Linked DNA regions of Alligator mississippiensis. The protein of the gene in region 3 purifies or fractionates together with the protein of the main gene of each other region. This does not show direct contact. Links are inferred from orthologs where the notes say so. Each region holds a gene or a part of one and is shown on either strand. Other genes may lie near its edges. The genes, in order: NIPSNAP2, LLGL1, PRKCZ and PARD6G.

Region 1 (7,395 bases), on a different chromosome or scaffold from region 3:
GGTTTCCACTTTCTCATAACAAAGCCAACCCAGACCAGCCAGCTTTCAGTGCTCTCCCCCAGAACAAATTAATATGTCCAAAATCACAGTGAATAACATGCACACTTACCAAAGCTTGTTGTAGGCTTCTAAGCATTCTGGCTTTACATTGTGAACTGAAAAAAACCCAAAAAAGTCAATGAAAAATACAGGAAAGGAATAAAGAAAATAAACTGTTAAATATGAAAACATCACTCACATTGTATTTTATACAGACTGCTGGTCTCCTTTTTGGCTAGAAGATTGGAGTGAGCATCTTTCCGGGGATCAACTTTGCGAACAAACAGTGATTTTAACCAGCTGTCTTCACCGGCTCTGTTAGTTGAGGATACCAGTCCCCTACACATTAATGGAATATGCAGTCACTGAGTGTTCATTCAAAATGTGAGGATTGTTGAAAACAGCTGAGATAAGTTTAAATCAGTCACATTGTATCTTATACAAAGGTATGGTGCTAATTTTTTCTATTATCTAATCTCTAGCAATGCAACAGGTGCATGTGTACTCAACAAAGCACATCCTTACTGTAAAGACATCCCTGGATGGCCCAGAACTGCTCTACCTGGCCTAACACTGCCCCTCTTACACCCCTTGCATGCAGAGGAAGCAGGAGCACAGCAAGCTGTGGGTGAAGTGCTGCTGTGCTAGAGCCGTTCTTAGTTGATGCAACGGGCCCATGGACTACTACAGTCAGACACACATTTAGTATCCTGGAGCTGTTCTAGTTTATATCAGGTCTCAAGACAATATGTGGCATAAAACCCTGCCTGTTCCTACACTGATCATAGCCGTGCCAAGAGAGAAAACTAAGGCTACTCTGTCTTTGCTCAAGCACAATGTGGAGGTCTTTCATTTCTTGGAGTCTCAGAACAGGAGAGACTCCCTATGCCTGATGAAGGGTGACTGTTGTGCCTGAAAGCTTGCCAACATTTTTTTTCCAACTACTCAGTTGGTCTAATAAAAGATATCACCTCTACTCAAAGAACCTTGCCTGCCTAGGTCTTTCAAGAAACCCATAATCAACAGGAAAAAGGAGGTGCAGAGAAGGCAGTATGCATAAACAGGTTTGTCCACTGTGAATGACAGCAAAAACACCATGTGTGTTATGGCATTTTATAAAATAAATTTTTGCAAAAGACAAACTAATGCACCGCCCCAGAGAAGCTAATTTGGAAATGACTTAAAGAGTGGCAGGGGCCCTGAAGCCTGCATAGATTTTAATTCAGAGTAAGAGCAGTTCTAATGATCAGAATACAGATTCACTGTCTTTGCTCAGTTTACAATTTTTCTTGCTCTGGAACAACTGCACTGACTTTGATGGATGAAAGCTTGAATAGCATGTTTGAGTGCTCACAGAATTGATACACTCAAATTAGCTATTTATGACTTTATTACAACAACAAACAATAAAAACATAACAGGTAATCATGCTCTGAGTACACTAGAGGGACTTTTTCTTTTCTAATTGGCAGAAGGCCACCTCAGCTACCAGATGTGATTCATTAGTTCAGTTCACAACAATAGTAATGAGCTTGCATTGAAAGTGAAAAGCAAACAATAAAAAGCATTCATCTTATGCTGATTCTTTATACTGTACTTTTCCTCCTTGTCACCATTAGAAGTATTTTGTTCCTCACTCTTCCCTTTTCCCTAAATAATTCTGGCAAGTTTGGAATGCTTAAGAGACATCACAACCGGAGGGTTAAACCTCAACTGATTCCTCCAGCCTCAGAGGACAACTCTCCTGCTTCTAATCAATGCCTGGGAGACCTATCAGGGAGTTCCTCTAAATCAGGGGTGGGCAAAATGCGGCCCGCGGGCTGGATGTGATCCGCCAGACCATTCTATCCAGCCCGCGGGGCTCCTAAAAAATTTAGAAAATTAATATTTATCTGCCCCTGCCTGTCATGCAGCTCTCGATGGCTTGCCAAAACTCAGTATGCAGCCCCACACCCAAAATTACTGCCTGCCCCGGGTCTAAATGAATTACTGTCTTTCAGGTTCTCAAAAGGCAGTGAAAATCATTAAGGAAAAAGAAATTGGAAAAATAAATTTCTTTCATAAAATCTTTGAGCCAGTAGGCTTTCTGCATCTTAGAGCAAGAGTAAAGGAATTTATTTTAACATGCTTTGCAGTTCACTTATACAGACTAGATTTGGGCATTTGCTTTTGAGGAAGCAAAAAACACGTGATGGCAAGGGAAAGAACAACTGGGAGCGAGGTGACCTTCAACATAAAGAAGTGAGTAAAAACCTCTCAGTGCTCCACTTACTGGAGACTGCATTAATTTTTTTTCACTGTAGCCAAAGAAACAAACACTCTATTGTGTAGAAGTTATACAGCTTTCCTAAAAGTAAATATTTAAAAGGGTGTCTTGTACCAGAAATACTGCTAGGGCACGGAGGGCTGGAAGACATGCATTCGTTCTGTACTCTTCTCTGTCCCCATACGCACTGCAAAGGCTCACAGGGCATCCATGAGTTGTGATCCCACCCCTGAAGCACTTCCTTTGCTATTTTGGGGGGAGTCATTTAACCACCCTGCTTTATTCCCTCCCCAAAAAACCCTCTCTCATAGTTAAGGTTAATGAGTATTTATCTTTCATGGAAGGTGTTGTGAGGAATGGGTAATAATATTGGTAAAACAGTGAAAATGAAAGTGCTCAGCAAGCATGTTTACCTCCTTATCTGTATATGAACTTTACCACTATTCACAGAATTTGTGGTTTGATGTGGCCAGAAGCTTAGGACAGTCATTTGGTGGGGGTGGAGGCAGTTTTCTCAGTTTTTCAATGAAATGGTCAAATGAGTAATGTTTTAGAGCTGCACTGAATCTTTCAACCAAGAACTGGAAAGTGCTTTAGAAACAAGGCATTATTATTGTTGTTTTGTTGCTGTTGTTATTCCCATCCAGCAGAGATTGGCAACACTGACATTTCTGAAAATGGGTGCAGTTTGAGACAGTTAAGGACTGATTTTTTAATCAACACATCTTCTGATAAATCATGTCTTTTTAAACACGCACGCTCAAAAAAAATAAAATACATTTTGTAGCGTAGTTCCATAGTTCTGGAAGACAATGTCTTATTCTAGAATAAATGCAGTTACCTTCAGATAAAACTAAATGTTTACACTACAAGATAAATTCCACCCCAGGGGGTATCAGGAGTTTCCCACTGTTTTGAAGTGCTTGTGTTTGGGCAGAAAAACAGATGCAAAAGGCTATTTAACCCACAACTCCTTTTAAAATTTGTTGGGGGAAAAGGTGAACACAATTATCTGCATTAACAAAATAACAGCTTTAATTTCCTCTAACAGAAATATTATAAGGCACATAATAGGATTATAAACAAAATTCCAGTTTAAAGATCAATCCGATTCTGGAGTTACAGTACAGAAGCAGAGAAAATAAAAAGCATACAGAGTATCTGAACTTTAACCTCGTGTAACCGAACAATAACGCTCTTCTAAAGGAGGAAACGTCTGCTGCCAAATGTCATTTCTGGAATTAGATCAAAGTGTCCCTAATTAGTACAGAGTGAATTTGCAGGTCACATTCAATCGGTGCGGTTTTTGGAAGGCATCGCCTAGCTCGGCACAACGGGGAGAACAGGATCCCGTAGCTCGCTGCTACGAAAGAGGTCACTGGGTCACCTGGTCCCATCTTCTTGCCGGGGGCATCCCGGTTTCCTACTACTCTGTCCTCTATCCATACAAAACCCGATGCCTTTATGTCCTCTGTTTTTCTCTTGAAAATAAAAATAGAGGATGCAAAGGCATCGGGTTTCGTACCAATGGTCCCAGCCTAGCATCCCAAGTCGTACCCCAAGTCCCGGCCTTATGTCTTGGAGACACAAATAGAGGACATAAAGGCATCGGGTTTCATATCAACAGAGGACAACCGGACCGTCCTCCGCGATGGCCACCCTACTTCGCACCAGCGCAACCCCAGCGCACCACGACTCAGTCCCCAGCAGACCCTCGCTTCCCGCCCCGCCCCGCCCGATCGTAAGGGAGCTTCAGGCTGACCTCCGCGATGAGCACCCGCGTCTCCAGCGGCGCCCCCAGGCCCTGCAGGGCCCGTCAGACCCGCTCCTGCCGAGGAGAAATAAACACCCCCCCCCGCGAGCGGGGTGGGCCCGGGAGCCGACGCGGGGAATAAACCAGCTCCTCCCACCCCCGCCATCCCCACCCGCGCGGGGCGCGGCGCGCTCACCTGAGGGCCAGGCCGCGAGGCCCGGCCGCCCCCAGGCTCGGCTGCAGCAGCACTCGGGCCGCCATCTTGCTCCGGCTTCCGCCCCGCCCCCCGCTTCCGGGCGGCCGCAGGGGGAGCCCCGCCCCCGGCCCCGCCCCCAGCTCTCCCCCCGGCCAGGCTGGAGGAGCACGCGGTGGGCAGCCAGGCTCCGCCCCGCAAAGGGACTAAGAAAAAAGCAACCCCCCCCCCACCCCCCACAGCCATGCAGCATCGCCTCTGTGCCAACGCCAGAGGTTTCATCGCCCTGCACGACAGACTGCGGAAGCAGGGAGCTAGGGGCTGCCTGTCTCCCACGGATCAGACCCGGGAAAGAGTCACGGGCAAAACACCAGCAAATGTTGGGCACTGCCAGGCACCAGCCAGCACTGCTTTGCTGGTGCAAATGTCTGCGTACGCGTACGCCTGCTGCCATTGGGGCTGGGAAGAAGCAACTTGGCAGGAGTCTGGGAAATACGTCTAGGTCAAAACCCTGCGCAACGTGTGTGTAAAGAGATAAGCTTCAAGGCTTCAATGCTTTTCAAGTAAAAAACAAGGGCTGGGTTGCTTGATGCAGCCTTCCTCAGGAAAGAGAAGTCACCCTCCGCAGAAGGTGTAATGTTTTCTTCCTTCACCTCTTGCAGTAGCACTAGGGCTTCAATTGACCCAGACCCCGCGCAGTGTGAAGTAGCATTACCTCTTAAAATAACCTTAAAAAAGAGAGACTAACATTTTTAGAAGACTTTTTTTTTTCTTAACTAAGTTTTCTTTTTAAGGGCAGAACTCTAAAAACACACAGAAACCTAGATGAGAAATTACTACCTTGAAGTAATAGCTGGATTTTAAGATTATATTATAAATAGCATCACATAGTCCCTAGTAGGTGCGTCTACACAAGATGCTTAATGCCCGGTAGACTAATTCTACTGTGCGTTAGCGCAGCTGGCAAAATCCATGCTAATGTGCAGATTAATCCAATACGCATTAAGCATCACCTAAAAAGTGTTCCTCTACGCTAATGCGCAGTTGCAGTGATTATGGTGCATTGTTAGTATCTGTTTCTGCATAATTATGGCACATGAATGAATGTGTAGACAGTAGATATCAATTATACAAAAACTAGTTCTCATAAAGATGCGTTTTGGAAACAGCAGTGGTAAGATACGAATACACAGGTCTGTCCCCATGACCGTTCTTTCCTTTGGTTTATCAGCCAACAGGAGCTTCAGTAAAAGATCTATTTGCTGGGTATTTTTCCAGACCAGGGAAAAGACCTCCAAATAGCAAGGATGTCAACTGACCTTGTTCTGACCGAATCAATGCCACTTGGTAAAGTACAGAAAGAAAATACAGAAAGACAAATTCACTAGTGAATGAAAACTATACCAACATCAGATCAGAACGATATACAGCACTGCAACATTTTTGCTAAGATAACTATTCTGTAGCTGTGCTCACTGATATTTAAGTGAGGCTAAGAGTTATTTTCATCACCTAATAGCTACTCCTGAATGCCCAATGGTATGGAAAAATTTGACTTGCTATGAGTTTAATTTTTGTTCACAGCAACCCAAGTCACTTAACTTTTACTTTAAATGTGAAATAAAGAGTTTCACTTTCCTGGGTGCATAATGATTAGATATTACTGTAAACTGTGTGAAGACGCATCCAGAAATGTGCATGCAGTGTCCTTCAGTATCAATGAAATGCGAAAGCATGGTGTTGCAGCTTTGGTCGTTATTGATAAGTATTACAGTTATTTTTTATTAAAAATAGCTTGCCTCAGATTGTTTGTGGGTTACTATCGTATTTAGATCTGAACAGAATGAACCACCAGGCTAAATCTCCAACAGCCTGAAGTCACAGCTCTACAGTTCACTTGATTTTCTGGTTTGTCTGCTAGACTGAAAAAGATCATTACAAAAAAAATTTTGGGTGAACCCCAAACATTTTTCAGCTTTCTGGAGGCAAATAAAAATAGTCACTTCCTGTCAAAAATGTTTTGTTTCACGTAAACTATAAACTGTTTTGTTTGGATTTCAGGCATTTTTAACGAAGGCAAAGGACACTAAAACAAAGGGCTAGACCTACAAAGGCATAATCCCTCTTCGGCTACGGAACAGCTAGTGTGCAGCACTGGGCACACTGCAACCTTGGGAGACAAAGCTTTTAATTACAGAGCAAGCCCTAGTAGGGCAGGAATGAAGGACTAATTGGAAGGCATATAAATTAGAGGGCGGCTTTTAAACTCCATAGAGTAAGGCTGAAGTAGGCACAAGTGACACGATACTCCTATTTGGGCTGCAAATAAAAATCTATGGCAGGATATACACAGGAAAATCTATGCACCTATATAGAGGAAGATTCCTTTTCTGGTATGTTCTTCCTATGGCATCAACATAGGACCAACACATGCAGCCTGCAAGCCTTAAGTCTAGGTCCTGGAAGAGAGTGTCCCTGCGCTTTCAGCATAGAAATTGCTATTAATCACAGCAGCAGAGCCCTACAGCCCTGCTCTATCACCTGCCAAGGGGTGCTCAGGTCTCCAGGCAGCCTGGAATTCCAGCAGCACAAAGTCAGCTTTAATCTCCAGTCGCCACAGACTGAACTTTCTGCATTACAGCTTTCAGAGTATCAATCCCTGTATCTCTTAGCAGGATTTGGCACCTTAATTAGCTTTTCTTATTAGAAGATTAAGACTCTAAACATCTCTAATTTCATTTGCAGCACTGCATTCACAACATTTTCTTGTGTGTGTGTACTTTGTAACTTGTCTGTCAGGAGCCGGATACTTATTGGCAGCTTAAAGGGATATATCTTGCAGTTTATCGGTGTTAAATACATATCCACTTTCCCTTTGTTTTTGGAAGTTAGCTGAATTATAAAGAACTAATTTTTCCTTGAAATGTGGCTTTTATTGTACTGTAACAAAACTTCACTGACTTCAACCAGTGCTGGGTTGGACTTAGCATAAACTTACAATGAAACAGTGGCATAGCTTGGCAAATTCTCTATGGGATCCTTTCCACAAGTATGTCTAATAATAAAGCAGCCAACTTCAGCGTGGTGAACCAGAAAAAATACGCAGTTTAAATGAAGACAATTGTCACTTATTTTATAAGTGGA
Region 2 (7,857 bases), about 42 Mb from region 3:
AAATCACTGCAAAGCACCTCAACAATGGGCAAATGTGGGGCTTCTAACTCACGCCCAGGACCCCTCTTCTTCCCCAGGTCAAGATGCTCATGATGCAACACAAACACCCAAGAGCACAGCAGCCCCGAGGCTGAGAGATGACCAACGTGCTCCCCGCACGGGTGCAGCAGCCTTTGGCAGCCTCCAGATCTGCAAAGGCATCTCGTCGCCCCATGTGCTGGGTCAGCACCCACCACACGCAGCCCTCAGGTTACCAGCCTTCATCCAGCCCTGCCTCTGCCCTACTTTGGGGATCGAGCACCAGTCACAAAGACACCTGCTCATCAGGAGACCAACTGCAGCAACTGGAGAATGTCCTGGACCCCGTGGCATCCCAGAAGGCCAAGGCCATGCTTCCAGGAGGCAGCTGGGGTGGAAGCAGGTATCCAGGGCAGGCTGCTGTGCAGCTGCAGCCCCATCCCCGGATAGAGGCCGAATCGACCCATTTCTGACAAGGACAGCGGCCAAAACCCCCCCTTGTCAGAATTAGCCGCCGGCTACTAGCAGGGTCCTTGAGAGATCAGGCCAGCAACCGACCTCTGGGACCGGGAGCGACACAATAACTCGTGACCCAGCAAATCTCCCCTTGCCATGGTGCAGGACTTCTACCGCCAGCTGCAGACGACTCATTAGCCTGCCCGCCCTGGGTGCAACAGGGCCAGTCAGCAGCTCGACAACACCAGCCAACCCCACAGGACCAGCCAGGCCAGTCCCGGCTCCAGGCTCAGCACACGCTCGAGTCACAGCAGCCCAAAGCACCAGGCCCAGTGGATGCTCCACCTGCCCCAGCTGCAAACCTGGCAGCTGGCACGCAGCACCGCTGGAGTGAGCAGCTTGTGGGGCCAAGGGAGCTCAGGAGCCCCCAGCCAGCTCCCCGCTACCTGCCAGCTCGATGGAGGCGGCGTCCTGCAGTGGAGCATGCCACAACTGGTCCCACGGTGCTGGCTTGGCTGCAGGGGGCTGCTCTACGGGGGGACGGCTCCCCAAAGCATGACATGCCTGGGAGGGGAGGCTGCTGGCAGCCACCACGGCTTCCACATGGAAACCCTTGCAGCAGCTTGGCCCTTCTCCATGTGCAGCGGGGCCCAAAACCCACCAGCTTCAGCCCCATGCAGAGGCACCTGCATGCTGGGGAGCCGAGGCAGGAAAGGCGGCATGCACACACGGACTAGCCCCCTGCTTCCTGCAGGGCTCCTGCACCGCCTCCCCGTGCCACGCACCCACACACCCCGAGAGCGAGTCCACAGCCCCTCTCCCCAATAGACGGTTGTGTCCCAAGCCATGCACAGCGATGCACAGCGCTGCTGCAGGCTCCCACGCAAGCTCGAGGGCAGAGAAGAGAGCAGCCTCAGCCGTTTGCCCCCTGCTCCCCGCTGGGGTCCGCAGAGGTGCCAGGTCTGCTCGTTCCCAGCCTTGCTCAAAGCCAAACAGCTTTGCTTAACAATGGAGACCGACAGCAGCAGGGAGCACAGCCCAGCACTTCCCTGCCCTTCTCCGGTCACACCAGGCACTTGGAGGAGAGGAGCCCCCTCCCTGTAACAACCCCATCTGGCTCCATCCCAGGACAGGCCAGAGCTCTCCCACGTGCTTCGAGTCCGAGCCACCGGGGATTGGCAGGCCCAGGGGGACCGTGGTGGAGCAGGGACCCCCCTACCTGGGCCACAAGCTCCTTGGGGCAGGTGGGACCTCCTCACGCTGGAGCCCGCGAGGAACAGGAGCGCTGGCATCGGGGAAGGGAAGGCCCTGAGAAGCCTCCTCTCCTAGCCCAGTCCGCAGCCCGGCTCCTGGCAGGCGAGCCGTCCCACACGGGCTGCCGGCACGAAGCGCAGCCCCGGGCTGGGGGCCGGGCACCAGGGGATGCCTGCAGGGGCCCTGGCCGGGCAGCCGTGGGGAGGGGATGCACCATCGTGTCCGGGGCTCACTGCCGTCCCCACGGGGCCTCTGCGAGCAGTCAGGAGGCAGAGGTGGGCGAAGGCCGGACAGCCAAGAGCCGGGGGCCGCGGGTCCCCCCAGCGCAGCCAGGTCGCCGCTCCAGGGAAAGAGCCCAGAGGGCTTGCTGGAGGGGGCAGCCCAGACAAAGGGCGCAGGCTGCTGACGGAGGAGCGCCCGGCACCGGGGGCTATACCCTGCCCGGAGCGAGGGCCACATCCCGCTGCCCCAAGGCCCCCGGCCGCGTGGGGACCCCAACCCAAGGGCCGGGCAGCAGCCCCCGGGGCCCCACCGTCCCCTCGCCCGGGGCCGAGGCTGGTTTGCTGGAGCCTGGCACAGGGGCTCTGGGCACCCGAGAGGGGCCGGGGTCGGAGAGGCGGGGAGGGGAGGGAAGGGGCCGCACAAAGCCCGAGCTGTGGCTCCAGCCTCCCGCTGCTTTGTGAGGCCCGCGGCATGTGTGCCCCCCCACACGTGCACAGCCTTGCACGCACGGCCCCCCTTACACACGCACTGCGCCCCCCTGCGTGCACACCCCCCGTGTATGCACACACACACACTACACACCTCCCTTGCACACACACACACTGTACACCCCCCGCACATGCATATGCATGCACACCCTCCATACATGTGTCCTGGCACACCCCCCGCCCTTGCACGCACACTGCACCCCTTGCACACCCCGCCCCCCCTGCACGCGCACACACACACTGCTTCCCGCCGGGTGTGCAAGCCTCGTCCCCACCACCGCTTCACCCCCCCCCCCCAACAGCAGGGAGGAGGATGCACACGTACCCCCCCAGCCCTTGTACACACACACACACGCACGGGGGAGGGGCAGGGGCGGGCGCGGCACCTTGTTGAAGGCGAACAGCTCCTGCTTGATCCGGTCGCGCTGCGGGTCGTGGCCCCCGCGCCGGAACCGAAACTTCATCATGGTGCCGGCGGCGGGGCTCGAACCGGGGCCACGCGGGGCGGGCCGGGCGCGATCGGACTCTGCTGCCGCCTCGGCCGCGCGGCGCCCTGCTGGGAGGGGGCGGGGCGGGGCGGCTCTTTTCAAGGGGCCCGCGGCTGAGTGACGCTCAGGGCAGCCAATCAGCGATTCCCCCTGCGGGCCCCGCCGACCAGACAATGCGGGCGGCGCCGGGCGGCTCCCCAGGGAGGGCGGCACCGCCTCGTGCGCGTGCGCCGCGTCCGGCCCGAGGCAGGCTGGGAGATGTAGTTTCCTGCTGCCAGCGTTGCTCTCGCCTGCCCCCTGGCGGCGGGGCGCGGCGCTGCCCTGCAGAGGGCTCAGAGCAGCCCTGGGGCTGGGGGGCCCCGCCCTGCCACCCCTAGGCACATGCGGGGGAACAGCGTCAGTGCCCACACCGTCTGCAACCCCCCAGTGATGGGCACCCGCAATTTATCACCTAACCCCCAGCTGGGGTCTGGGGGTGCCCCACGGTGCTGCAAGGAAAAGCAGGAGGTGCCTTCAACCCCTTGCAGCTGTGGGCGCTGGGTTCGTTCAGTCACCCCCAGGTGGAGGCACAGCTCCCTGCCAAAGGGCGGTGGGGAGTGAAATCCATGCCCGCCGTGCCCCCACTGCCCCCCGACTCCCGGAGCAGAGGCCGTCTTGCTCCTGGAGCCTCTGGCACGCGATAGGGCCATGCAGGAGCTCCAGGGAAGAAAGAAGAATCCAGGCGGGATCGTGCCCTGGTCCTTAGACGCGGATAGAGGCCCCGCTGAAGTCCTTGCCCCTGCAGTGCAGGCTCTGTGCGTCTCCCACCTGCCTCCGCCCCGGGCTCCCTGGGCAGCTCCCTCCGGGGGTGCATCCAGCAGCACCCAGGGCAGGGCACGGGCGTCCTAACCATGGGAGGTGAATGTGGGATAGGGATGCCCCAGCCAGCAGGGTCAAGCCCGAGGGCAAGCGGTGCCACCTATCCAGATGGGTACAGGGCCTCTAACCCTGAGACAGTGGGGGGCAGGGAGGGTGCAAATTCGCACCCCAAGTGGTTGCACCAGTGCTGCCTCTGCCTGGGCAGCGGCTGCCATGTGGGGGAACCCCCATAACCCTGGGGCATCAGGCCGGGCAGCGGGCACTTTGGGAGGGTGGGAGCACCCAGCAGTGCACCCGTGTAGACCAACCCAGGGGTGTTTCCAGCGGAGGGGGAAGATATCAGCCTTTTTTGCACCTGGGCTGCCTCCAGCTGCCCTGCAGGCCCCGGCATGGTGCTTAGCGCCCCCCGGGGCGGCCGTGGCAGGGGCTGGGGCAGGTGGCCCGCTGCAGGGGCAGGCCCCGCGCCTGGAGATCCACGTCACCGTGCAGTGGAAGCGAACTAATGAGAACCATTTGCATCCAGAGCAAAGTACAGCACTGTTGGCAGCTGGGCCAAACTCTCCCCTGGTGTTAAGCTGGACTGGCCGGCATCACCAGACAGGCTGGCAGCCGTGACACCGCTGAGCCAGGAGCTGTCGGATGTCTAGCGGAAACCCTCCAGGACCCAGCGCTGTCCCGTGGGGGTGCAGGCCCCCGGGGCGAAGGCAAGGGCAGTAATGAGACACGTGGCCTCATCTGCCCGAGTCACAGCCAGGAAACACTGAGTCAGGCCCTCCCGACCGGTGGTGCATGCTGCGTTTGCTTGGAGGTGTGCGTGGGCAGGGCCCGCTCTCAACTCGTCTGTACAGCGCCGTGCACACAGCTGGGACAGAAGCAGCAGCAGGGCTTGGGGATGTCGGCATTTCCTGGGGCTCCCGTCAGGGCATCACCCACCTGTCCCCGGCCCCCACCTCCTGCCGCATGCCCAGCCCCGGCTGGGAGAGCTAGTTGTGATGAACAAGCAGACGAACGAGCTGGTGCGGAGACAAGGCGCGGGGCCGGGAAGCCGTGACTCACCCGGCTGGGGCACGGGGCGACTGGTTGAGCCGCATGTCTGCGCCTCTGCCTCCGGCTGCAGGCAGGGACCGTGGGCAGGGGCAGGGTGAGGCTGGGCACGAGGGCAGGGCAGGGTGGCACCACGCCCAGCTTCTGCCCCCAAACATGATGCCCTGACGGGAGAAGAAAGAAACTGGCTCCGCACCCACCCCAGCCTGGGTAGCAGCTCATCACACACACACACACGCACACACACACACACACACACACACACACGTCCCAAAAGCTTCCCTACACACAAACCCTGTTGCCCCCCCGCACACACTTGCCATAAAGACAGACAAATACACACACACACACACACACACATGCGTGTGCACACACGCTCACCCCCAGCTGCCATGAAGGGCCCCCCCACTATCCCATCCCATCCCATCCCAGGAAACAAATCAGTCCAATGCTGACGGCTTCCAGCACAGCCACTCCCAGCTGCTCCGAGCCGTGGGCCAGGCCTGAGAGACTGGCTCAAAAGCCGCAGGCTTTGTGCAATAGTGATGAGGATAATGATTTATGATGATGATTGTTACTGTTGTTGTTATTATTATATTACTAAAACACTGCTATTCTTTGCATCCTGGTCCCCAAGCCTCCCGGGGCAGCTGGCCAGCTCTTCCCAGCACCCGGGAGGGCTGGGAACTCCCCCGGTTCTCTGGCATCCCCTGACTCCTGGAGCTGGGGCTTTAAGGACCTCCTGCAGATGCTGTAGGAGCCTGGATAGGGCCGATCAGATCTGGCATTTCCCCTTGAATTCAAGCGCCCGGCAGCGCCTCGCTATAGCCCCTGCCCTGCAGTGACATCAGCTACCAGCCGGGCACCGCGCAGCCTGGGCCAATTAGCACAGTGGGGTCATTACAGAAGCTGGGAGCCCCATGCTCCCAGCCTGAGCTCCACAGCTGGAGTAGGATGGAGCTGGGGTAAGCGCCCATGTGCCTGCTCTTACCCCGTAATAATGCTCCCGGACCATGCACCGGTGGCTGCGTGCCAGTGACCGCAGCAGGGGCTCAGCCAGGTGCCAGGGGCACTGCGGACAGGGCAGAGGACAGGACCAGCCCCATTCTGGGGCAGGGACGTGCATGCCGCCAGCGCTCTCCGGGAGCCCCCAGCACCTGCTCTCAGATCCGCAGCTCATTTCCATCTGCCGCGGCTGGGAGGAGGGCGCAGCCCAGCTGCAAATTCCCCGCGGTGCACAGGGTTTGCACAATGCATCGTGAGAGCTGCCAAGAGCACTGCCCTCGCAAGCAGCGGGAAGCCCCGGCGGTGCAGCTGCAGCACAGCCAGGCCAAGCTCAGGGCGCTCGGCTCAATGCCGGCCGCGCCTCGGGGCTCAGCAGCCTGCAGAGACCCCGGGCTCCTGGCCCCGAGCACCTGGCTTGCCCGGAGCCAGGTTCGTTCTCTCCGGGCCCCTGCTCCATCACCCACAGCTCAGGCTGTCCCCCCCTGCCCGCCTGGCTCTGGGGGTGCCTGCCCTACAGCACCCTGCTCAGCACCGGCCTCAATATTGCCATCGGACCCCTCCTATACGTCTCCAGGCACCACGTCCCGCTGCCCCCGGTCCCTGCGAACTGGCAGCCAGGTCTGGTGCCACGGGGCTGCTGCGGGGGCACGACAGGCTGGTGCAAAGCTGTCCCTCCAAGCCCCCAGGACCCAGTCCAGCCCCTGAGCACGAGGCTGTGCTGCCAGGCTGGTCTATTCCAGCCTCCTCTGGGCTCACACGTGGGCCAGGCCCGTGCAAGACACGGGACCCAGGGCTCCCCCACTGCTAGAGGCTTTGCTTATGGTTTAAATGAGCTTTAGCACATGAGACCGATGGTGGCTTGAAGGGCAGGGCAAGAAGAAGCCTCCTCCAGGGAGGCCGTCAGGATGCGGCCCCCTCGTTCAGGGCATCACGCTCCCCTCTGCGGGGACTGGCCCAAGACCCACCCTGATTGTAACCCCCTTGCAGGCTCTCGCCACTCCCCGCAGTGAACAACCCCAGGCGTGACCGAGCCGCCACCATCTTGGGACCAGCCCCTCTGCCCTCACTGCCGGCCCCAATCCTGCATCGCCCTCCCACCCTCTTGGCACCTCTGTCCCAACCCTCGTGCCGTTCCCTCCCTGCCCGGGCTCTCATGCGCTTGCATGGGGATGGAGGCGCATGCGTCCGCCAGGTGCAGGAAGCAGGAGGCAGCGCTCGGGTATTTTTGGAGCTGCCAAGAATAGCCGCGGTTCTGGGCCAGAGCGACGCAGCTGCTGCTGGAATTTCCCTGGAAACCTGCAGCCCTCGGGAAAGCAGCGGGGCGGGCGCTGGCCGCCCGGAGCAAACCCGGCCCGCGTGCCCAGTGGAGAGGGTGGCTGGACCTGGGCCCTGCACCGGGGGAACGTGTGGGAGGAAGAAACCCTGCCTCATGCCTCAACCCCGAGAAGAGGCAACGGTGTGAGGGGCGAGACCATATGCATGGGGCTGGGGCACGAGGGTGCCCGTCTGCTGGCCGTACCCATGGTGCCAGCCCACCTCGTACAGGTTGTGCCGTCCCATTTGCTGCAGGGGATGAGCTCTGCAAGCCAGAGGTGTCTGTAGCAAGGAGCGATCGGGGAAAACCCGGAAGAAGCCAGGCCGAGCGCTCCTGGGTGATGGATGGGGACAGGGCATGGGGTCGTGAGACACGAAGCCAAAGGTCAGAGGTCTTTAATTAGGTCTCTGTGCAGCGGGAGGGGAGCAGCTCTCTGGGCCCCGTCCCCAGGACAGACGAGTGGGCGCTGGTCAGGATGCTCTGCCGGCGAGGGGAACACGGGAGTCCAGGCATGGGGGGAAAGACCGGAGCCCTCCTTAACTGCTGCTAGGGGCCGACACGCACGTGACAGCCCCAGAAGCGGAGGCATTGCCCCCGCCGGTGCCTGGGGTACGAGCCTGGGCTGCCTTGATTGTCGTCACGTGACTGCGGCCACAGGAGAGTCAACTCCCGGCAGCCCCCGGCTGTGTTACCCCAAACTGGGACACGG
Region 3 (7,083 bases):
AAAGGGTTGAACTGGATCAGCAAATACACCTAGATATAGTACATCTGTTTCTAAACACACACCATTCTGAATCAGTTTTGAAACAAAACCAAGCAGCAGCAAGTAAAAAAGAACAAACCAGAAACTTCTCTCTCACTAGTTTTTAGAGACCAGGGACAGCATTTCACTTCCCTTGGTGCATCTAAATAATAGTTTTCCAGTCACACAGGTAACAGTTTTGCCACTTATACACATTTTTCAATTTTATTTTCCCTGCAGTATAGATACACAAGCAGAATGAACATGCACAGTAGGCTACATGCTTCCTGGGTACACATGCCTACACGAGAATAAATCCCAGAAAAAGCAAGGAAGAGGAGGGTGGCCCTTTTGTGTTTCAGCTCAAGGGTTTGAATCTGCATCTCTCCGACTTCCCAGCACAGTGCCTGGACTGTTAAGGGCACATAATACTGAGTGTCTTCTCTAGAATACCTCTGAAGCTAGCCCTCTGGGCAGCCAACGGGGATGTGTGTGGGGCCAGGAGGAAGAAAGCAAACTTGTGTGCATTTCAGCTTTCAGATTACTGACACAAGGAAGGAAGCACCTTGCTCCCAATGGGGCAGAAACCTCCCCACAACATAAAACTGCTCTCCATCCATTTTACTTCATGACTATTAAAAGCAAGGGGCAGTGGCTCAGCTTTTAAAGGAACATTAAAGAGCCTAGTGGCATAGTGGTTACAGCAGTATAACTGGGCAGTAAGAAAGGTGGAGGATCAAACCTTCTCTGGGCAAATGGGGTCTAGAACACGAGTCTCAAGAAGCTGGAGTAAATGCCCCTACCACTCAGCTATGAGGGCTAAAACATAAGAAAGCCCCTTGTGATATAATTCATAAGTCCTGGAAAAAGCACATCTGGCCAGTATAACCTACTGCAACTCTCAGTCTAGAACTACAAACACTCACTGTAAAAGAAAACACAATTATGAACTGCATGTGAAAAACATTATTTATGTAGCTGGAAAACTGCCATTTAGATGCCTAAATGGAAGTAGAACTCCACCATAAACAATAAAGTAGCAACTGATTTAAGTTTATTTTAACACCCAAGAAAGTCTACAAACTTTGTACCTGGAATGATTTGTTAGTACCTGTAGTATCATAGATTTCTACAACTCTATAATCAAGTAAGACTACAGTGCATTCTGTTAGTGCAAACTGAAACCACATGCGATGTAGTGCTGAAAAACTGTTCAACTTACCCATTATAATGTGTTTTTACTCTGATGAAGTCTCTGTTCAGATTCATTTTTGATCCCATTCTGCTAGGCATGATACTGATAGCAGTCTAAATAAAAATATTTTGCCAGTGTATGGAAGAATCTTTCAAATCATTCAAAAAAGACAACTGATCTTGTGCTGAATTCTAATGAGCAGGTATAATTTCCAGCTGATACCCTGTCCATCTGCACACAGAAAAGAAAAGCAGCATATAAATGCACATACACACACAAAGAATTGTTGAAATACAACATAAATTTACATGTGCAGAGCCAAATCCTGGAAACCCCAGTCACTTTAAACCAGTGGCTCCCAACCTCAGGGCAAGACGTAAACCAGGGTCATAGAGGGTCCACGCCTTGCTCTGCCCCTCCTGCCTGCAGGGCTCTCTCGGTACATGGTCCATACGGCTCTCACCACCGCTACCCCCCCACAATCTTGGCCCGGCCTGGGCTCTACTGGCGCCGTCGGGCACAAGTGAGTTGGCGGTGAGAGCAGGGGTCATGACCTGGGTTTAAGGTCGCAGTAAAAAAAAATTGGGAGCCGCTGCTTTAAACAATACACCTGAGAAAGCAGTTGGACTGTTTACATCCATAGGGCCCTTTGTCCCGCAGAGGAATGACTATGAAATAAGTTACTGGTAGTAAAACTTAATCAGGCTAGTTACATTTTATTTTACACGATTATTCTGGTTTCCAGAAGATCAGGCCTCAAAAGATTCCTGTTTCCACCAATTAAAACATTCATCCAGCAACTGCATGGACAAAACAAAGCCGTGTCTGACAAGGGCGTTTTGGGGGTTTTTTTTTTAACCATTTCCTAATTAAACTTTCAGCCCTTTAATCACAAATAAAACACACTGCAAAGACAATCTTTTCTTAAAAGACTAATGGCAAGGATCAGATCCCCTTATTTACAAGTCTCTTTCCTAGGTTTTCTCTTCTTAGTCACACAACATTTCACTTTTCCACGTCCAAAGCAGCTTGCACACATGAAAAACACTGCTGTATCGGAAACCAAGGCTAGTTCCACCTGCAGCGAGGGAGGGAGGTAAATCGGAGGCACGCTGGGGCAGCTCGGGGATGGACACGTAGATGGACACTTCCCAGAACGACAGACACGGAGCGTGGGAGGGACCCCGGGAGGTCACAGCTCGTCCACCCCCCCAAACACTCACACCCCCAGCAGGACCAGCCCCACCCAGATTGGGGAAGACCCCGTTACCCCAGTTGGCTCCTACCCCTGGGAGCGGTGGCAGTTACAGGGGTGTATTTGGAGTCTCACAGGGGGCTGCTGTTTCCCACCGGAGTCTGGGCCACGTGGTTTATTCTGGCCCCTAGCCCTTCTGCCCACGGAAGGTTTCGGGGCAGCGCGGGGGTGTTTGTTTTTCGGGGGGGGGGGGAGGGGGGGTCCCTGTATCCAGGAAGGGGCTGCAGTTGTTCTCGCCCCTGCCCGCCTACCTGCTGCGGCGGCGGCTCCCGGCCCTTCCCGGGCAAGCCCGCCCCGCACCCCGCCCCGCCCCGCCCCGCCCCGCGTTGGAAGTTGCCCGAAGTCCCGTGAGGAAGTTGGGGGCGACCCCCGCAACCCCGGCCCGGCCGGCTGAGACAGCGGCGGCCGAGCCCCGCTGCCCCGCGCAGCCCCGCGCCGCCCCGCTCCCACCTCGGCTTGGCTCGGCTCGGCTCAGCGCCCCCCGCTCCGCGACTGCGGCGGCACCGGCGCCACTACTCCAAACATGGCGGACCCAGCAGGTTAGCGCCCACAACAGCCAATAGAGCGCCTCCCACGCTACCTGCCGGCCAATAGCAAGCGCCGGCCCACCTGGAGCCAATCCCAAGAGGGATCCCGCCCGCGTCTGACCAATCAAAAGCCCGCATCCGTTACCTGGCCGGCAGGGGCCATGCAACCAATGAAAAAAAAGGAGGAGGCAAGCGAACACCTGCAGCCAATAGGAAAAGGGGATGGGGGAACGTAGCTAATCTACTTAGTAACCGGGGCTGGATGGCCTCAGGGCCGTGGGCCTGCTGGGCCCTGGGGCTCCTGCTCGCAGCTCTAGGAGGGTTTTGGGGGCAAGGATCTCAAAAAGAGGGCAGCCTTGGTGTCTGGGGACTCCTGGCTTCTGCTTTCAGCTCTGCATGGCTTTGCTGCAGGCACATCACTTCGGTTCCCTGTCTGGAGCGCATGCTTGGAGTTGGGAGCGAAGTGAAGTCCAGTTTCTGAAGCACTTCAGTGTGTCCCGTGATAGAAAACAGGGTGTTATTTGTGTCATCACCTCTTGGGCCACAGATTATGGCCCACGGAATCGCTGTGGCAACAGGAGGCGTCTGTGGAAACCCACGCCTCCTCCCTGAGACTTGGTAAGCCTTGCACGTTCAGTGGCAGCTCCTTCTGCTGTGCAAGTGTGCGCTACGCTTTCACATATTTTTCTTTTATAATTTTAGGCCTTTTCTCTGCACTTTATATCTAATAAAAAGGGCAATTTGCTACTTTATATATCTTTATGTAATCAATTTCCAGGCACACTTGGAACAGCAGAGGTCACTGCATCCCTCAGTAAAAGTAACAGTTCCAAACCAATTAATAAGTTCATCAATGAAAAGAAGCCTCAACGTGCAATCAAAATAGAAGTTCCTCAGCGAGCCATTTTCCAGTCCAGTTCAGAAAGCACGTCTTCACTAGCATCTCCGCTAGTTTCGTGACCTCTTCAAGAAAATCCATATCTTTCTGTCCTTATTCATCTGAGCACAGGGGGCGGACAAACCAATAGACTGGATCCTGATCCATTTCAGCAACTGTTTTTGTTTCATTTAGACATCCTGTCTTTTGAAAAGGAGACACAAGTCAAACACCAAACAAATCTTTTAAATATATTTTCAAAGGAGGAAAACAATTGATCAACACACACAAAATGTGGGGACAGAGGAAGTGACTAAGAAAAACAAATAAGCAAGCAACATCACCAATGATTTAAAAAACACAAACCCAATACAAACCTCAAACAAGCAAAGGATGGTATATATGTACTGGTGATGCTGCTGGACTATCTAAATGTTTGTTATGGCCTGCATCTAAGATGCATCAAAGGAAACAAGCTGATCTCCCCTAGAGGTATTGAGGGGTTATAACTGCTAATTGAGATGGATAAAAGAGGTTTTTATTCTACTGCTCTTTCTCGTAGAGAACTTAAAGTAGAAATGAAGAAATGTAAAGCTTTATTTCCAGCTATGGCCCTTTACTTCCAGCTGTGCACCCAAGTAGTGGTGAGAGAAGCAAAAGAAGGTATAAACCACTGAGGCCTTGATTTGACAATCTTTATTCCTACTAAGCAAGAATTAGTACCCCTCCAATGGAGTCACCAGTAAGGTTTCAAAACTGTCCCTTAAAACTGTTTCAGTTTCCCTCTCTGGGCTAATGATACTTAGAGTAAGTTCTGCAGTGGCATGTGGAGGTACTCCAGCTAGTTCAGATAATGGGAACAGTCGCATCAAGGCCCACAAAAGCTAGTTTTACTTGCAGGGAGTAGTAGGCTGCTATGGCTGTCCTGCATTTGCTAGCTGAGCTAGCTCATTTAGATATCACTACACTGCGCCATGTCCAGTTATATATAGATTTACCTTCACACCACCTGATTTGGAAGTAATTAATTTAGCCTGTTAAGGTTTGGAAGATCTTTAGATGTAAAACTTTTCGAAGTAGCTAGCGTTACAATTTTTCTGGTCTGGGATGGGGTGAGGGGGGAGGGCAAAGGGAAGGGAATGTGATATCACCAGCCCCAAGGATGACTGTGATGCCCGCAGTGGGCAAACTACTCCTGCCCCAGTCCAGCCCCTCAGAGTACCCTTCCTTTTTCTGCTATACCTTGATGGATATTATGGCACTTAGGAAGGCTGTCCCATGGTTTTAGAGTGACCCTCAGTTCATTTCAGCTTGCTGTTTAACGAGAACCCTAGTACTACTTGCGCCCAACTGGTAGTTGTCTTGCACCTCAGACACTAAATGGTGGCACTCCTAGCTGTATCCTTGCCTTAGGGAACAATGTGCTTTAGGGGCAATAATCCTGGCCCTGTCTCAACCTCTGTTCCCAGCATGAAATGATGCTGCTCTTTCTCTCTCATCCACCCTTGGGTCCCTGCTCCTTACAGGGACTTATGCCCTGGGCCTGACTCAGAACTCCTATGACCTTCAGACCACTCCCATAGTCACAGTCCAAATCTCTGGTCGAAACATAAGCATCTGCTTCAAACCAAAACTTGCACCCAATTTTGGGTCATTACCCCACAGCAAGTCATGCTCCCCCTTACTGTCTCCCGGCTGCCTAGAGTTCTGCCCCTTTTTCTGCCTAGCTCCAGGATACGCACTCCCAGTTGCAGCTTTTATCCCTGTTGCCTCTGAGTTGCTTGCTTTCTAGCAGCCGGCCTTTGCTCAGCTGCCACAGTAGGCCTGGTTTGCTGCCCTTTCCCCTTAAAAGTAACAGGAGCCTCCAGCTCCCTGTTACAGGGAGAAATGTCTCCCCCATCACATCTTGTACATAAAAAACTACCATGCATATTTACAAGACTTTAAAAAGCAAACTATTGATATTATAAATGTATCACTTTACGGGTTTCTTTCATTGATTAATATAGCTTTTATAATTTTAACAAAAATGTCTCAATTGTTACTGCTTTGGAATGTTTCATTAAGTGCTCACTATTTTTAAAATGTATTCATTTCTTATTAGATGCTCCCCATGCCTTTGGAAAAGGGTAGGCAGATGGCTCTTTTTGGATATGATGTCCGTTTTGCTCTATGGATTAATTAACAAGGTTGTAATAGGTTTGCAAGCGCTACATATTGTAAGATCATTGTACCTGGCATATTATTTTTGAAAAACAGCCAACTCTGGTTGGCCTAAAGCCTGAAATCCTGAATATGTCCCCAAACCTGATTTTTTTCAGATTGTAAAACATTACGTTTTTCATATGCCATTAAACTACCTTCAGCCTAATAAATTGGTAGTTGTTATATGAGGGCCCACTACAATTAAAGTTAAAGATCTGCAGATATTCCTATTACTAACACTATTTCTGAGAGGCTTCTAACTCAGTAATTCCAATTTGTGCTAGGTTGAAATAAAGGATTCAAGCCCTGATCCCACATTTAGAAAGAAAAAGGTGGGTAGGGTGGGTGGAACCACTGGAAAAATGTATCTTTTATTGATACCTGATGTCCTCTTTTCATATTTAAGAGCACACCAGAAATTGAACTGGTCCTTTTGTGAGAAAAGAAAAAATTGGAAAAATATATTCTTTGGAAATACTTGAGTTGTGTTTGAAAAGTAGCTTTGATCAGATCCAGCACAAATATGAGAGTGCTGTTTAATGCAGCATCAGCAAATCTGTGGAATCTAGATCTTTCTTTCCCTTTCCTATGTGATGAATTGTGATTGAGCATGCAAAGGAGTAAGTTCAGTGACAAAACCACAGGTTGGTAACAACACTTGATGCCCATCTTGCTGGGGTCTGATCCCAGCAGGCTTTCCTGCTCACGTGCAGGCGGGGCTGGACCTGATGATCTGTAAGATCTCTTCCAGCCCCTAACAACTGTGAAACAGAGTCAAAGAATATCTTTAAGTGTGGTAGCAATTGGCACTGTAGCCATGAGGGTTAGCTGCAATACTCCTTGACCGAGTAGGATGAGGCCCTTGTTGGAAAGGAATTGTTGGTGGGTTCTTGCTATTTTAAATTTTTGAGTAGTTCAGACTTGCTTGAGCTGATACTAACCAAAGGCCTGAAGTAATGCCCACTAAAGTTCATTATCAAGTTTCTTGATGAGCTGGACTGAGTTC
Region 4 (7,924 bases), on a different chromosome or scaffold from region 3:
TGAGCGACGCAGTGAACTTGCTCGCTAGCATGGCGCTGCATTGGATCAAGCGTTGTAAAGTCGAAACTGATGTCATGAAGTTGAAACAGGGTGTCAATTTATAAACGTTGTGAGCACGAAACGTAACTTGAAGTGTTGTAAGTCGAGGACTGCCTGTACTGTACTGCACAGGTATTTACCACATCAGACGCATGGTGAAATGAAGGTAGTGAGGTTAAGTGATCTGACCAAAGTCACATGGCAAGGCAGTGGCAAGACCAGGAAGAAACCCTAGTCCTCTTTAGCCTCGATTCTCAGTGATTTTGGCACCAAACTCCCACTGAAACCAACAGGTGCTAGGTACCTAAAATACCTCTTGAGGACCTGGCCCCTTATGCCAAGTACTTTGACAGTTTTCTACTGTTCCACAGTAAAGGTTCTCAACTACGGCTGGAGAGACAGCAGAATTACTTGCAATCGTGCAGAATCTTGCTCTGCAACTCACTTCATGGATTTTTATTTATTTATTTCTTCTGGCTTTTTTAGTTTACTATTACTTGGGAACCGGAAGCAGCTGGAATTCTGTCTCATGTCTCAGTATATATTTAAGATGGATGTAATTTACTTCTCATTACAAACACCAGCCCTGTCATTGGCTGCCTTGCTCTAAGGCAGGCAGGCAGGCTTGCTCAAGTTCAACATTCCCTAGGGGGCCCTTCAGAAAGCCATCAAGCTAGAAGGGATGGGGGGTAGGGCAGATCAGGATGCACATAGCAAGGGTCTCGTCTTTCCAAAAGAAGGTCCAGAGGACAACGTGCAGCTTCTTAGGAGTTGAACTTTTTTCCCCAACAAAGGGGAAAAGAAAGAAAGGGAGGGGGGAAATCACCAGATAATCAGATGATCACAGAAACCCAAACAAGTTTAAACATGATTGCATGGCTGAAGATGTGAAGCAAACATGACAGCACTGACTCAGGCTGAGCTTGCTTAAAGGAGCCTGAAAAATTGGAAGAGCAGAGGGGCGGCCGCTGCTAGACCCGCTCAAGATAAAAGGGATCCGAGGCAATTTTGATGAGTTTCCTATAAAAAGTCTGTGTGCGTGTCTCTGTATGGGTGCGTCTGTGTGTGTGTGTGTGTGTGTGTGTCCCTGTCTGTGCATCTGTGTCCCTGTGTACGTGTCTCTCTCTCTCTCTGTGTCTGTCACTGTGTGTCACGTCTCTCTCTGTCTCTGTGTGTCACTCTCTATGTGCATGTCTGTGTGTGTGTGTGTGTGTGTGTGCGCGCGCGCGGTTGTGTATGCGCATGTTTCTCTGGGTCTGTGAGCGTCTCACTCTGTGTGTGTGCATGTCTCTCACTGTACTTGTCTCGTGCTGTATGTTTTGCTGTGTGCCTTACTCTGCGTGAGTCTCTCAGTGTCACGCACTCTCACCGTATGCGCGCATGCACAGCCGTGTGATGCACGTGCCTCGCACGCACTCCCACCATGTGCGCATGCCTCGCGCACTCTCAGCCTGTGCGCATCTCACTCTGTGTGTGTATGTCTCGCTCTCTCGCTCTGTGTGCATCTCACTCACTCACTGTCTGTGTGCTTGTGTGTCTTGCTCTGTGTGTGTGTGTCTCACTCTCTGTCTGCATGTCTTGTTCTCTTGCTCTCAGTCTGTATGTGTGCATGTCTCTCGCTCTCTCAGTGTGTGCGTGTCTCTCGCTTTCTCTCACTGTGCGTCTCTCGCTCTCTCGCTGTGCGTGCATCTCTCGCTCTCTCTCACTGTGCGTGCGTCTCTCGCTCTCTCTCACTGTGCGCGCGTGTCTCTCGCTCTCTCTCACTGTGCGCGCGTGTCTCTCGCTCTCTCTCACTGTGTGCGCGTGTCTCTCGCTCTCTCTCACTGTGTGCGCGTGTCTCTCGCTCTCTCTCACTGTGCGCGCGTGTGCCTGTCTGGTCTGCCTTGTCAGGCCAGCCACAGCTACCTTGCGGGCATTCCCCGAAGTCCACACTCAACTCCTGAGTGGCTGTGCACAGCCAAACAATGGCCGGTTTACATAAAAGCTGGCAAACTTTTTTCCTGCTTGCTCTGGATCCAAGCCACTGCAACAAGAGATTGACTTGAAAGGGAGCAGAGTGGAAAGCTGCAGCATTGCGCCCCCAGCCCAGCCCAGCCCAGCCCAGCCCACCCCCTCTACCCCCTTTCCCTTCAGGATGAATCCGGCTGCGACAGAGCCTAGTGGGCTTCCAGCCCCTCAAACCCTCGGCTTTTGTGCCTTCTTTTGTGCCAACAGCCCCTGGCCACCAGCGCGCTGCCCACACAGCACAAACCTGCCCTGCCTGCAAAACTGGACCAACAACGTCCGGGCGCCCCAGATATTCAGGCAAGCTGCTCTGCCCGCCAATGCAAGGGGCGGAGGGGTAGGCAGCATCCCCCCAGTCCGCCCAGGACAGAAGGAGAGCAGCTGCCACCCGCAATCCCCTGTGCAATAACTTGGGACAGACTTTCCATCAGGAGAAACAACGACCAAAGAAAAAAAAAAGCTCGGGGGGGTGGGGGGGGGTCCTCCATTCATTGGCAAGGAGGGGGAGGAAGGAAGGAAGAAGGAGCTGCTGCGTCCCCAGCCGAGCTCGCCCCGCGATCTCCTTACCTTACTCTTCACTTCCACCGCGCTGCAATCGGGGGAGCGCAGAGTCTGAGACTTGTTAAAACTCCGATTCATGTTTCCGGCCCCCCGCGTCTCCCCGCGGCCGCCGCCTCCTCTCCGCCCTCGCTCCGCAGGGGCCGCCGGCCCAGCTGCCTCCGCCTGCGGGGAGCGCCCCCGCCCCTGCCCCTGCCCCTGCCCCTGCCCCTGCTCCTGCTCCGGTGGAACGCGGCCGCTCCGGACGTTCCAGCCTTTGTCCCGCCCGCCAATCCGAGCGCCCGCCGCGCTCCCCGCGTTCCGCTCCGAACAATCGCTCCGCCGCAGCCCGCAGCGCGCCCGGGACTCAAAGGCAGGGCGGGAGGGAGGCTGCCCGGCCCGGCCCGGCCCGGCCCGGCCCGGACCACGCCTCCCGGCCGGCCTCCCCTTAACCCGCGCCCCTTCCCTGGCCGCGGGAGGGAGGCTCCTCCTCCTGCCTCCGGCGGGTGCGCTTGCAGGGCTACCCACGGCCCTTCTTGCTGGCTGGAGAAGCTGCGGGAGGGGGCTGGGTACGTGAGGCGGCGTAATATAGGGGGGTCTCGACTTTTTTTGTACCGGTAAACCTGGATGCAGGCATGGGCGAACTCAGCAACTGCCTGGAGCCCGGATAGAAAGGGGGGGCCCGAAAATGGGGGGGGAAAAATTACAGTTGCAAAAAAAAGTTTTAATACAGGTTTCCCTCATTTTATACTGTACATGCCTTCCTGAGAAGCAGCGTGTAACTTGAATTTGCATACAGGGAACCCACTTTACAATGTAACAAATAGGGATATGTTCCAACATGGGTGACTGGTGCCTCTTGAGTCAGGGGGGGCATGTCCCGTCCCCACAGCGACCAGTCAGGGACTAGATCTTACTGTGGAGGGAGGGGGTCCCCCCACGGCTGGTCTCACTCACCAAAAAGCAGCCATGGAAGTGGCTGTGGCTGCTTCTGCTGGCGGCCCTGCTCCTCCACCAGCACTCTTGCACCACCTGGAAGTGCAGCTGCTTCACCTAGCAGCCCTGCTGCCTGGCTGGCGCTCGCAGGGGGGACATCAGTGCTCTCACCTGGCCTCCCTGCCCAAAGCTTGAAGTGGCTGTCGGGGGGACCACCAGCACTCTTAGGGGGTGCACATGCACCCCTTACGCGTCGCCACTGTGTTCCAAGACCTCGACTGTACTCACCCCCAATCCGATTCCTACCATTTTTACAAGACAATCTTGGTACTCACCAACAGCTACACAGGGCACTATCATAATGGGGATGGCAGCGATATAAAAGTGTTGTAGCCAACGAGCAAGGAGCACAGAATCACACAGGAGAGTATATTTTTGGCATGGGTCACTCCCACAACACAGTGCACAAAACGGTGGTTCCAGCACACCGATCACACAAGAGTGAATTTACCTCATGTATAACAAATTTTTGGTATAAAAAGGGTCATTGCATAAAAGTGAATTGGCACATATAGAACCTGCATAAAGTAAGGGAAACCTGTATTGTGCATATACACAATATGGTTCCTTCCCTCGGGAACCAGCAGCGGGAAGGAGAGGAGCCAGGCACACGTGTGTCCCGCACGCACGTGTGCCCCTTTTACCAACTGACTGACCAGAGGCGGTGGCGGCGGCAGCAGCAGCAGCAGCAGCAGAGGAATCGGCAGCAGGGGCAGCAGCAGCTGATCCCCCGAAGGTAAGTGGGGCGGAGGGACCTGGCGCAGCTGAGCTGGATCCGGAGGGGAAGCCCCCCGGGTCCCATATAGCTGAGCCGGTAGGGAGCCGCGCGGAGCGAACAGAGCGCGCTAACAGGCGTGCTCTGTAAGAGCATGCCGGCGTTTGCGCAGGTGTTCGCGCTGGCGGGCAGGCAGGAAGGGCCAGGAGTGAGACTCCTGTAGGGGTAGGGCGTAGACACCACACAGATCTACAAACAGCAGCTCGGAATGGTGTCTACGAGGAGTGCTGCTAGGGCCTCTGCCCAGGGGGACAAGGCTACCTGGGGCTGGTCTGAGGCCTCCACCCAGACCGAGCCCATGGGGGAGCTGATGTCCCCCTACCTCCTGGCCTGTGGGGGATCCCCAGCAGGGCCGGGGGGGGCAGAGATTGGGGGCCCCCACACCTGTCCGGCAGGTGCCCGTCTTAGGGCTCTGGAGGCGCAGGTGAGGGAGCTCCGGGAGGAGGTTAGCAGGCTGAGGGGGATCAGGGAGGCGGAGGATGAAATTGACAGTTATTTCCTTTCCCTGCAGGCCCAGGCACTCAAGGAAGAAGCAGCCCGGGGAGTGCCCTCCGGAGCAGAGTGGCAGACGGTCACAGCCAGGACCAGAGCAGCTCGCAGCGAACCGGTCGGTACCAGCTTCTCCAGTCCGACTGGTGAACAGGTACGAGGCCCTAGCGACCCTGCAGGAGATGGAAGGGGAGGAGGAAACCCTTGGGCAAGAAGAAACACCACGTTCTTCACACTCCGAACAGATCAAGAGATCCACGAGGACCCAGAGGAGGAGGCGACGAGTGCTTGTCATAGGCGACTCCATCCTGAGAGGCACGGAAGGACCCATCTGTCGCCAGGACCCCTTGGCACGGGAGGTATGCTGCCCCCCTGGAGCAAAGATTCGGGATGTGACGGAGGTAATCCAGGCCAGGATCAAGCCCACCGATTACTACCCCATGGTCCTAGTCCATGTGGGTACTAATGATGCGGCCAGGAGAACCCCCGATCACCTGATGGCGGACTACAGTGCTCTGGGTGGCGTGCTGAAGGAGTTCGGTGCACAGGTGGTTTTCTCCTCCATCCTACCAGTGACCGGACGAGGAAGACGGCAGGAGAACTGCATCCGAGAAACCAACTGGCGGCTTCGGCAGTGGTGTCTCGAGGCAGGCTTCGGCTTCCTGGACAATGACCCGCACATCACGACGAGGGACATGCTCAGCTGGGATGGGCTTCACCTGTCCCCCAAAGGTAAGCATGTGTTTTCTACTAGGTTGGCGGATCTCCTCCGGCAGGCTTTAAACTAGGCTCGTTGAGGGGAGGGGAGTATGAGGGCAGGGGAAGCTGTGGACCACCAAACCATGTGGCACCCACAAGGACAGCTCAGCCTGAAGAAGGAGGACATTGGAAACCTGAAAGCTATGGGGAGACCAGCACTACAGAACAGGTAAGAAACAAGAAGGTAAGAAACAAGAAGGTAAGAAACAATGGGCCCCTTGGGACTCGGAGCGGGGGGGCAGCAAAGGCGCCAGTCGCAGGGCTCAAGTGCCTATATACTAATGCTAGGAGCATGGGGAACAAGCAGGATGAACTAGCGCTCCTGCTTGCACTAAACACCTATGACTTAGTGGGGCTAACAGAGACCTGGTGGAATTCATCCCACGACTGGGCGGTACATATTGAGGGCTATAGATTGTACAGAAAGGACAGGTCGGGGAAGAAAGGGGGGGGGGGGTTGCACTTTATGTCAGTGACCAATATACATCAACCCTCATCAAGACAGAATCCAAAGTTGAGGAAGTAGAAGGATTGTGGGTTAGGCTACATGGGGGGCAAGGAGAAAGGGATTTGGTGGTAGGGGTCTGCTACAGACCCCCACACCAAGGGGAAGAAATAGATGCGGGGCTCCTGAGGCAACTCTCGGAGACCATAAAAGCTAAAGAGGCGGTAGTCATGGGGGACCTAAACTACCCGGACATCTGCTGGGAGACACAGACAACAAGGTCCCACCGCTCACGCAGGTTTCTAACCTGTGTACAGGACCTCCACCTGACACAGGAGGTACACGGTCCCACTAGGGGGAATGCCATACTGGATCTGGTATTGGCAACAGGGTATGACATGACAGGGGACCTCCAGATCGGTAGCCATTTGGGAGACAGTGATCACCTAATAATAGAATTCAACATAAGAGGTCGAGTGGGTAAGGTAACTAGTAGGGTGAAAGTGCTAGACTTTAGGAAAGCTGATCTCAATGCACTCAGGCGATTAGTCAAGGACACACTGCAGAGTAGGAGTTTTGAAGGGATGGGAGCCCAAGAAGGGTGGCTGTGCCTAAAGGAAACGATCCTTCGGGCACAAAGCAAGATGATCCCCGAGCGAGGCAAAAAAGGGAAAGGGGCCAGGAGGCTTCCATGGCTGACCGGAGAAATCCAGGGCAGCCTAAGGGCCAAAAGGGGAGCACATAAAAAGTGGAAACAGGGTGAGATCACTAAAGATGAATATACCTCCTCTGCTCGTGCTTGTAGGGAGGCAGTTAGGCGGGCCAAAGCTACCATGGAGCTGAGGATGGCAACCCAAGTAAAAGACAACAAGAAATTGTTTTTTAGATATATTGGGAGTAAAAGGAAGGCCCAGGGAGGAATAGGACCCCTGCTAAATGGGCAGAAACAATTGGTGACAGACAGGGGGGACAAAGCTGAACTCCTCAACGAGTTCTTTGCCTCAGTGTTCCTAAGTGAGGGGCACGACAAGTCTCTCACTGGGGTTGTAGAGAGGCAGCAGCAAGGCACCAGACTTCCATACGTAGATCCTGAGGTGGCACAGAGTCACTTGGAAGAACTGGATGCCTTTAAGTCGGCAGGCCCGGATGAGCTCCATCCGAGGGTGCTGAAGGCACTGGCCGACATCATTGCAGAGCCACTGGCAGGAATATTCGAACGCTCGTGGTGCATGGGCTGAGTCCCGGAGGACTGGAAAAGGGCTAACGTGGTCCCCATTTTCAAAAAGGGGAGGAAGGAGGACCCGGGCAACTATAGGCCAGTCAGTCTCACCTCCATCCTTGGTAAAGTCTTTGAAAAAATTATCAAGGCTCACATTTGTGAGAGCCCGGCAGGGCAAATTATGCTGAGGGGAAACCAGCACGGGTTTGTGGCGGGCAGATCGTGCCTGACCAATCTAGTCTCTTTCTATGACCAGGTTACGAAACTCCTGGACACAAAGCTATGGGGAGAAGTGGACACGCTGGAGGGCAGGGAACAGCTGCAGGCAGACCTGGATAGGTTGGACAAGTGGGCAGAAAACAACAGGATGCAGTTCAACAAGGAGAAATGCAAAGTGCTGCACCTAGGGAGGAAAATGTCCAGCACACCTACAGCCTAGGGAATGATCTGCTGGGTGGCACAGAGGTGGAAAAGGATCTTGGAGTCCTAGTGGACTCCAAGATGAACATGAGCCGGCAGTGTGACGAAGCCATCAGAAAAGCCAATGGCACTTTATTGTGCATCAGCAGATGCATGACGAATAGGTCCAAGGAGGTGATACTTCCCCTCTATAGGGCGCTGGTCAGACCGCAGTTGGAGTACTGCGTGCAATTCTGGGCGC

Evidence for each region.
Region 1: the proteins of PRKCZ (region 3) and NIPSNAP2 purify together in Homo sapiens (affinity purification with mass spectrometry; 3 studies listed by BioGRID and IntAct, counting the BioPlex papers as one, with this or other methods). This does not show direct contact. The link is inferred for Alligator mississippiensis from reciprocal best matches to the Homo sapiens genes PRKCZ and NIPSNAP2.
Region 2: the proteins of PRKCZ (region 3) and LLGL1 purify together in Homo sapiens (affinity purification with mass spectrometry; 6 studies listed by BioGRID and IntAct, counting the BioPlex papers as one, with this or other methods). This does not show direct contact. The link is inferred for Alligator mississippiensis from reciprocal best matches to the Homo sapiens genes PRKCZ and LLGL1.
Region 4: the proteins of PRKCZ (region 3) and PARD6G purify together in Homo sapiens (affinity purification with mass spectrometry; 6 studies listed by BioGRID and IntAct, counting the BioPlex papers as one, with this or other methods). This does not show direct contact. The link is inferred for Alligator mississippiensis from reciprocal best matches to the Homo sapiens genes PRKCZ and PARD6G.

The regions. Positions count from the first base shown.
Region 1 is NC_081837.1:10,248,845-10,256,239, forward strand, and holds the start of NIPSNAP2 (protein NipSnap homolog 2), read right to left. Parts: upstream 3,003-7,395; 5' UTR 2,796-3,002; coding exon 2,719-2,795; intron 379-2,718; coding exon 239-378; intron 156-238; coding exon 110-155; intron 1-109. UniProt on the Homo sapiens protein: Protein involved in mitophagy by facilitating recruitment of the autophagy machinery required for clearance of damaged mitochondria.
Region 2 is NC_081836.1:55,000,209-55,008,065, reverse strand, and holds the start of LLGL1 (lethal(2) giant larvae protein homolog 1), read right to left. Parts: upstream 3,014-7,857; 5' UTR 2,906-3,013; coding exon 2,825-2,905; intron 1-2,824. UniProt on the Homo sapiens protein: Cortical cytoskeleton protein found in a complex involved in maintaining cell polarity and epithelial integrity. Involved in the regulation of mitotic spindle orientation, proliferation, differentiation and tissue organization of neuroepithelial cells.
Region 3 is NC_081836.1:13,357,453-13,364,535, reverse strand, and holds the start of PRKCZ (protein kinase C zeta type), read right to left. Parts: upstream 3,008-7,083; 5' UTR 2,919-3,007; intron 2,741-2,918; exon of another isoform or gene 2,720-2,740; intron 1,445-2,719; 5' UTR 1,312-1,444; coding exon 1,241-1,311; intron 1-1,240. UniProt on the Homo sapiens protein: Calcium- and diacylglycerol-independent serine/threonine-protein kinase that functions in phosphatidylinositol 3-kinase (PI3K) pathway and mitogen-activated protein (MAP) kinase cascade, and is involved in NF-kappa-B activation, mitogenic signaling, cell proliferation, cell polarity, inflammatory response and maintenance of long-term potentiation (LTP).
Region 4 is NC_081826.1:113,746,955-113,754,878, forward strand, and holds the start of PARD6G (partitioning defective 6 homolog gamma), read right to left. Parts: upstream 3,003-7,924; 5' UTR 2,683-3,002; coding exon 2,611-2,682; intron 1-2,610. UniProt on the Homo sapiens protein: Adapter protein involved in asymmetrical cell division and cell polarization processes. May play a role in the formation of epithelial tight junctions. The PARD6-PARD3 complex links GTP-bound Rho small GTPases to atypical protein kinase C proteins.